2 linked regions of the Pelodiscus sinensis genome follow. Each later gene encodes a partner of the first gene's protein in a complex. Links are inferred from orthologs where the notes say so. Each region holds a gene or a part of one and is shown on either strand. Other genes may lie near its edges.

Evidence for each region. Proteins that work in one complex are often made in the same cells at the same time.
Region 2: the proteins of TFDP1 (region 1) and E2F5 are in contact, whole or in part, in a crystal structure (PDB 5TUV), measured with the Homo sapiens proteins. The link is inferred for Pelodiscus sinensis from reciprocal best matches to the Homo sapiens genes TFDP1 and E2F5. Residues at the interface, in NP_009042.1 of Homo sapiens: Glu201, Cys202, Leu205, Glu208, Arg209, Arg212, Leu213, Arg215, Ile216, Lys219, Gln220, Leu223, Leu226, Ile227, Gln230, Phe233, Leu236, Val237, Arg239, Asn240, Arg241, Arg249, Pro253, Ser255, Val256, Ile257, His258, Leu259, Pro260, Phe261; in NP_001942.2 of Homo sapiens: Val126, Arg129, Leu130, Lys134, Glu136, Ile137, Leu140, Glu141, Glu144, Leu147, Asp148, Gln150, Lys151, Leu154, Gln155, Ser157, Ile158, Val161, Met162, Ile166, Asn167, Asn168, Arg169, Phe170, Ser171, Tyr172, Val173, Thr174, His175, Asp177.

What each region holds. Positions count from the first base shown.
Region 1 is NC_134711.1:237,052,281-237,056,027, forward strand, and holds the start of TFDP1 (transcription factor Dp-1), read right to left. Parts: upstream 2,654-3,747; 5' UTR 2,509-2,653; exon of another isoform or gene 2,371-2,508; intron 2,211-2,370; exon of another isoform or gene 2,068-2,210; intron 1,755-2,067; exon of another isoform or gene 1,731-1,754; intron 1,376-1,730; 5' UTR 1,303-1,375; coding exon 1,291-1,302; intron 1-1,290. UniProt on the Homo sapiens protein: Can stimulate E2F-dependent transcription.
Region 2 is NC_134712.1:46,268,708-46,272,454, forward strand, and holds the start of E2F5 (transcription factor E2F5), read right to left. Parts: upstream 2,162-3,747; 5' UTR 1,997-2,161; coding exon 1,847-1,996; intron 1-1,846.

The DNA of each region.
Region 1 (3,747 bases):
GGGGATCAGCTGTGCTGCACTGCCCCTTTAACTCACTGAAGCTGGAAGTCCCCTGCTGACCCCAGGCTCCACACAGCATTTCCCCAGAACCCGGACTCAGCTGGGGAGTCCCCTGCTGATCCATGGTTCTGCTGAAAGCTACAAAGAACCAGGGTCCTCTGGGGAGCCCCCCTGCTGACCAAGGCTTTGAAATGAACAAGGACCCTCATTGGGGACTCTTGTACATTTCAAAGCAAGCACACCTGTGTGCAGCCAGGAGTCCACTGGCCCCAGGCTGTACCTGGAGTTCCGCATTCCTCCTTTGAAATGTACAAGAGCTCCAGCAGGGTCAATTAACCACATTTTAACATTCCTGTGACAAACATAAAAGTTTCACTGACAAATGTACCCGGGTGGACAATTTTTAAAAATGCTGTGTTTTTCAGAGAACATGCAAAACATTACTATGCAAAAGTTAGAGTACCAGAGTACTTTATTAGCAATGTAACATCTAAATACAGAAGTCTCATGATAGTAAATGAGGACTGTTAATCATAAACTAATCTGTTCACTAACTTAAATACATGCTAGTATTTTTTCTGATGAAGAGGTATTAAAAATGGGAGCTATAAGAATAGATGGCTCAATAAACAGACCCTCTTATTATCACCCACTTCTATGTTAGTGGCTTGAATCGGATAGGTTGAAGCAATTATTTCCTCCCCACATAGTCTAATTGCTACTGACTTTAACTAGGTTCCTTTTGTCTGTTTCAGAAGAAAGGCAAAAATAAGCATAGAGACTGAAAGAACCTCTTATCCTTAAACATGTGATATTTCCTAAACATAGTTTAACAGCAGGTCAACACTGAGTGGCATTTCTAGTGTACCTGTTCTATCAACAAGCAGGTAACTTAATGAAAGGTACTTCACTGACAATGCTCAGATTGAACAATACTTTAATTACCCAGCACAATAGTGAAAACTGCTTTTCACAATCTCTATTACAAGTATGCAAAATGCCTGCATCAAATGCTTTTCAGCAAGATGGTGGCTTTTTGTTTTGTTGCACAGAACAAATGTGCATATTGTGTAAAACGTTAAGCCTTTTTGTAATACAAAAGCTAGTAAGTCTATTCTAAACTTTCTATGTGAAAACAGATACACTGCAAACCCATTTTAAATAAGAGACAAAAAGGAGGTCTTCATTTCCCCTAATGCCAGTTGTGGTATGTATGGCCTGCTCTGTCTTAAGCACATGGAAATATTCTATCACTCATGTTCCCAGATAATACAAAACAAATATACTTACATCTTTTGCCATGTTACCAATGCTTAGAAATCAAGTCTCTTAAATGACTGACACCCACAGAAGGAAACAGGGACTGTGATATTTTCTACAAAGAAAGTCAAGACAACACTAGCTGTAACAGTGAACTGCAAAAGTCCATCATTTATTAACTGCATGCAGACATTCCTCTACTTTAGAGCATGGTCTCGTAATATTTAAAAAGTTTTCTGGCATCAACAACTTACTCTGGGAGAAAGGCCTCACAATCCCCCCAGAGAAAGGACCCTCCCTTCAGCTCGCACCCTAGCCCCAAGGCCTTCCTCATCCCAAACATACACGGAGGAGCCCAGCAGGCGGCCTGGACTGGCAGCCTAAGCCCACAGTGGGTCGGCCACAGTCCAGCTCTTCCCCTTCCCCGCAACACCATCCCACAGGCGAGGCCGGAGGCCCCTATGCCGGACCTGTCAGCTTCCCCACAATACTAGGCCCCTGGGGCCAGTCCCCTGACAGCCCCGGCGGGCGCAGCCAGATGGGCCGCTGGTGCGTGGGGAGGCCGGGGCGCCTCAGAGGCTCTTCACAGATTGGCAGCCCCACCAGCCCCTCACCCGGGGCCCCACCAGCCCGCCCAAGCTAGCGAGTGGGCGCGCGAGGCGCTGGGCTCGGCTGCCACAGGAGAAGCACCATCCCCCAGTATGGGGAACCCCCCCCCCGGGTAAATCCCGCGCCCCCTCCCCACGTCCCGCCCAAACCCATCCCCCGGTGCGGCAGCGCCTCCCACACGCCGAACGGTGCCTGCACCTGAGCGGCCGCCGGCGGAGAGCAGGCTCCCTGCGTCCCCCGCCCGCTCCCACACAGCGCCGCTCTGCGGAGACACGGCGGCGGGAGGGGGGGGGGGGCGCCGACTGCACATGTGCAGCTCGCGGGCCTCCAAACGGGGGGGAGGGTAAGAGAGAAGGCAGGGCTGTCAACGGCGCCAGCCCCCAATCAGGGGATCCCGCCCCTCCCCCCTTGTCAGCCTCACTCTTCTCTGCCCCCCGACTCTCCCTCCCTTCCATCCTCCCTCTTGGGGTCCCTCTGCTGCGCCCCCTGCTCCTTGCACACCTGCGCAGGCTCCCCCCTCCTCGCGGAGGGCTCCCTGTGTGGGGGCGGGGGGGCGCAGCCGCCCCTCCCCAGCTTCAGCACGCGGATGCGGCCCTGGAAAAAAAATTTCCGTTGGCAGAAAAAAAAATTGAAACTTACACTTTTGTACGTCCCACCGGCGTGACGCTGCGCGCTGACGTCATGAGGTGTAACGTGCCTCGCATAGGGCCCACGCGGAGAGATTAGTGGCCCCTCCACACCGTCCCTCCGTGTGGCGCGCATGCGCGGGGATTTCGCGCCCAGGGATTCCCCACCCCTTTTGGAAAAAGAGCGCGCGGGAAGCCTGGGCGCGAGACTTGGCGGTTAGTCAGTCAGAACCAGGCAGCCGTTGCGCTCTGGCACGTGGTGTCACTCGAGGGGGTGGCCTGCGTCAGCGCTGAGCTACTTACCACCCACCTGTCGATGTCAAGCGAGGGGAGAAGGGTACCGTGCCCCGCCTCTGCTGACTAAAGCTGGGCGCTAGCCCATGTCCCCTCCAGCTCTGGCGGGGAGAAGGACTTTGCCTAGGTCCTGGGGCTTCAGGTGGCTTAGCAGGACCTAGCCCTGATTGACCTCGCAGAACATTTTCCTTCTCGCGCCATAATGATTGCAGGGCACAGCACGCTGTCAAAACAAATCCTCAGGGTGTTGGTTTCAGCTGTGGGCTCTGCACCCAGCAACAGCATTTTAGAAACTAGCCCTAACCAACCCCTGAGTAATGCTGATGGTGCGTCCTCATCACTGCCTCGCCATTATCAGGGCTGCAGCACTTACAATGCCCCATTTTAAACATGCCATTTTAAAATAGTTTAATTAGAGGGCAAACTGGCTCCTCTGCAAGTTCTGCTGCTTGCTGCAGAAAAGAGTGAGAAACTGTAATACTCATGACAGCTAAGGCAGAATTGTACTTCATAGTATTTTTTGTAGCATAGAGATAGTTTGTGGTCTTTTAAGATTTTCCTTTTTCATCCCCACTATGCTAGATTTTTAAAATTTAGATGTACTGTGATTGCATCAAGGTCAGGATACACTAAACTGACCTTTGTACTAAATGGAACATTTTTTAAATCCAGAAGAATGAAACAGTAACTGTAGAAAAGTGAGCTTTTACTCAAAACCACTTTCAGAGATGGAAAACTGTTAGGTGAAGACTTTTCTTTGAAAAGTGTTTTCAGATATTTGTGAAAAAGGGAGGCAGCTATTATTGAAGCAGCACGTGATATCTTAAATGGAAAGAGAAAAATATGATACTGATTTTTTTAACTGATTTGCCCCTTACAAAGGAAGAATAGGTAAGGGAAAATGTTTGGAGCCTGGGAAAAGTGACCTAGCTCCAGGGGATTTTAGACCATTCAGTGC
Region 2 (3,747 bases), on another chromosome or scaffold:
CTCCGGTATGCCAATTCAACAAGAACTGCAAGGGGAGTCAATGAAGATACGTCTATACAGCATTATTATTTCGGAATAACTCACATTATTCTGAAACAACACAGTGAGTGTCTATACTACAAGCCTTTATTTTGAAATAATGTCAAGCTGGAGGATTTCTTACTCTGATTCACAATAAACCCTCATTTCATGAGGAGTAAGGGAAGTCGAAGGAAGTGTTGTTCTTCCTTCGACTTGCTGTTGTGTAGACAGCGCCAAAAGCCAAATTAAGCTATTTCGACTTAAGCTACACAATTGACATAGCTGAAGTTGCATAGCTTGATTCAACTTTAGCCTTGCTGTGTAGACATACCTTGAGAGCATATCCTGTCAACATTAAGTAGATATAAGTATGTTGCCTTCCGTAACATTATTCACGTATCTGAAGTTGTATAACTTAGAGTGATCTTCCCCTAGTAGTGTAGACTAGAGATGTCAAAATGTGCGCACACATGGAGCAGGAGGTGGCTCCCCAAGAGCTAGTGTGTGCGGGGAGACAACTTTTAAGCAGGCTCCAAACATGTACCAGCTCCTGCCTACCTCTCCCCCCCACCTGACCTCCCCCACCCTCAGCTGCTCCATCTGTATCAGATGCAGTCACAGCAGGAGAGGGGAGGGAGACAGAGGGGGCTGGTAGCTCCCTGGGAGTTGGTGCACACTGGTAGCCGGTTTTTAAGCCAGCTCCCCAGACATACCAAGCCCCGTGTGGAACCATGAACTTTAAGGGACAAGTTAGCCATGTACATGGTTACACTTTCACATCTGTTCTGTGGGGCTAGCTAACTCCCTGAAAACATAGCTATGGTATGCCACTTGGTTTCTACTTTTCTTAATAGAGAAATCTGTAACTACTTTACAGTAGCTACTGAGCTAAACAGATGTTTAGTTTGATTGACTGGTCATTACAGTACTAGTTAGTTATTCACTACAGACTGCTCTAACAAAGTTTGCCACAATTTTCTACTCATACTTAACTACTCAGATAGCAAAATGTATAAGAAACCAGTTGCTGACTTAAATCTAGAAAACCTGCCAGGATGTAGTGAAAGAAGTAATAAAAATTAAACCTGAGCCTTAATTTTCATTCTTCAAATTTTCTTTGCTTTTCTATGTAGGAATCTTGCAGCTTTAAATATCAATCATCACTATTACTACACTACCATGCCACTAAGAGATGCTACATACCAATGAAAAAGTGGACAACATGCAGGCAACTCAGCAACAATACAAGCCAGCCCCAAACCTACAGAAGAACAGGAAAGGAAAAAAAAATTCATGCCCTCACCCCTGTCCCTTGGGAGAGGATCCTGTTTTTGATTCAGTCCCTGCCGACTATAGCCCATTGTTACTGAAAAAGGCGTCTTAACACACTTTTTAGTTTCTCTTTGGAAAGCGAAGGGGGAAAGTCATAGTTGCATGGCTATAGGAAATAGAATGTGTCCATGAGAAAAACTCGTACACTCTCTGGGCGTCAGATCCCCAAGCGTTTTTCGCGTTCAATCCCGACACAGAGACAAGCTTCAGACTCCCTACCCCCAAAACATAAGCCCTCCAATGATGTACATCTCCACTACAAAGACCACCCAGATCTACCACACACAGGGACTTCCCTTCCACATACCCCCCTTACAGGTGGGCCCACCCATGCAAGGACCCTCCCACGCACCAGACCAGCAAGCTACACAGGTCCGGCCTCCCCCAGCCCCTTCACCGCTCCGCCCCCGCCAACCTCCTCACGCCCCCCGGACAGGTGAGCCCCCCCCCCAAGTCGTCCGGGACTTCCCCCCCGGCCCGGCCGGCCACGCACCGCTTTCAGGTCCAGCACGCCGTCTTTGGCCTCCTGCAGCAGCGACACGAACTTGGTCGTGAGCAGCCCCAGGCTCTTCTCGTGCCGGCTGCTGCCGCCTGCCGCCGGGACCCCGGCGCTGCTGCTCACCGCCTCTGCCAGAGCGGCCATGCTGCTGCCCGCGCTCCCCGCGGCCGGCCGGCCAGCGAGCCGGGCTTCTCCGGCGGCGGCTGCCTGCGGCACCACGTGTCCCGGGCGGCCCGGCCACAACAATCCGAGCCCCAGGGCCGGGGAGGCCGCAAGAGGGAGGAAGTGACGCTGCCCGCCGCGGTTGCCTGGAGACGGGCTGGGGGGGGGTGTGGGGGAGGGACGGGGGCTGCCCCACGGCTGGAGAGGGCGGGGAGGGAAGGGGCAGTCCTCCCACGAGCGCTCTGCGCCGGCCGTCCAGCGGGCGAGCAGCCCCCGGCTCCCTAGCGCAGGCCTGGCCCGCTGCCGCAGAGATGGGGCAAGGCGAGGTCCGTGCTGTCCGGGCGGGGGTCACGCAGCGCTCACCTGGGCTGCTGGAACCATTTTTAGAGAGCAGGGGCTGATGCTGGGACTCATGTATTTGGGGGCTGTTATTCGTGCTTCAAGATGGGTGGGGTGGGGGGAGTGCATTGTGCCCTTGTAGCCAAAAAGGCTAATGGTATACTGGTGTGCATTAGGAGAAGCATTTCCAGCAGATCCAAAGTAGTAATTATTCCCCTTTATTCAACACTGATGAAGCCACATTTGGGCTATGGCTACACTATAGCCTCTTGCGCAAAAATATATGCAAATGAGGTGAAGCATGGAATATCGCCACACCTCATTTGCATAATTAATGAGGCTCGGTTTTTTGCACAGTAGCCTACATGGCTCCTTTTTGCACAAAAGCCTGTTGTGCAAAAATCGAGCCTCATTAACGAGGCGTGGCGATATTCCACCCTTTGCCTCATTTGCATACGTTTTTGTGCAAGAGGCTATAGAGTAGACGTAACCCTGGAGTATTGTGTCCAGTTCTGGGCCCCTTACTACAGAAAGGATGTGGACACATTGGAGAGAGTCCACTGGAGGGCAACCAAAATGATTAGGGGGCTGGAGCACATGACCTATAGGGAGAGGCTGAGGGATTTGGGTTTATTTAGTCTACAGAAGAGAAGACTGAGGGGGGATTTGATAGCAGCTTTTTAACTACCTGACGAGGTTCCAAAGAGGAGGGAGAGAGGCTTTTCTCAGTAGTGACAGATGGCAAAATGAGGAGCAATGGTTTCAAGTTGCAGTGGGGGAGGTCTAGGGTGGATATTAGCAAAAACTATTTCACTAGGGCTGCATCTAGACTGGCATGATTTTGCGCAAAAGCAATTGCTTTTGCGCAAAATCTTGGCGCCTAGCTACACTGGGCAGTATTTGCACAAGAACGCTGACTTTGTAATGTACAAAATCAGTGCTTCTTGTGCAAAAACTCCAACGCTCCACTCAGGGATAAGCCCTCTTGTGCAAGTATTCTTGCACAAGAGGGCCAGTGTAGACAGCCAACTTGATTTTTTGCGCAAGAAAGCCTGATGGCTAAAATGGCCATTGGAGCTTTCTTGCACAGGAAAGCGTCTACACTGGCACGGATGCTTTCCCTAACCCTAACCCTAGGCATATGCCAGTGTAGATGCTCTCTTGAGCAAATACTTTTAACGGAAAAACTTTTCCGTTAAAAGTATTTGCGCAAAATCATGCCAGTGTAGAGACAGCCTAGGAGAGTGGTGAAGCACTGGAATGGGTTACCTAGGAAGGTGGTAGATGCTGCATCCCTAGAGGTTTTTAAGTCCCGGCTTGACAAAGCCCTGTCTAGGATGATTTAGTTGAGGTTGATCCTGCTTTGGGCAGGAGGCTGGTCTCAATGACCTCCT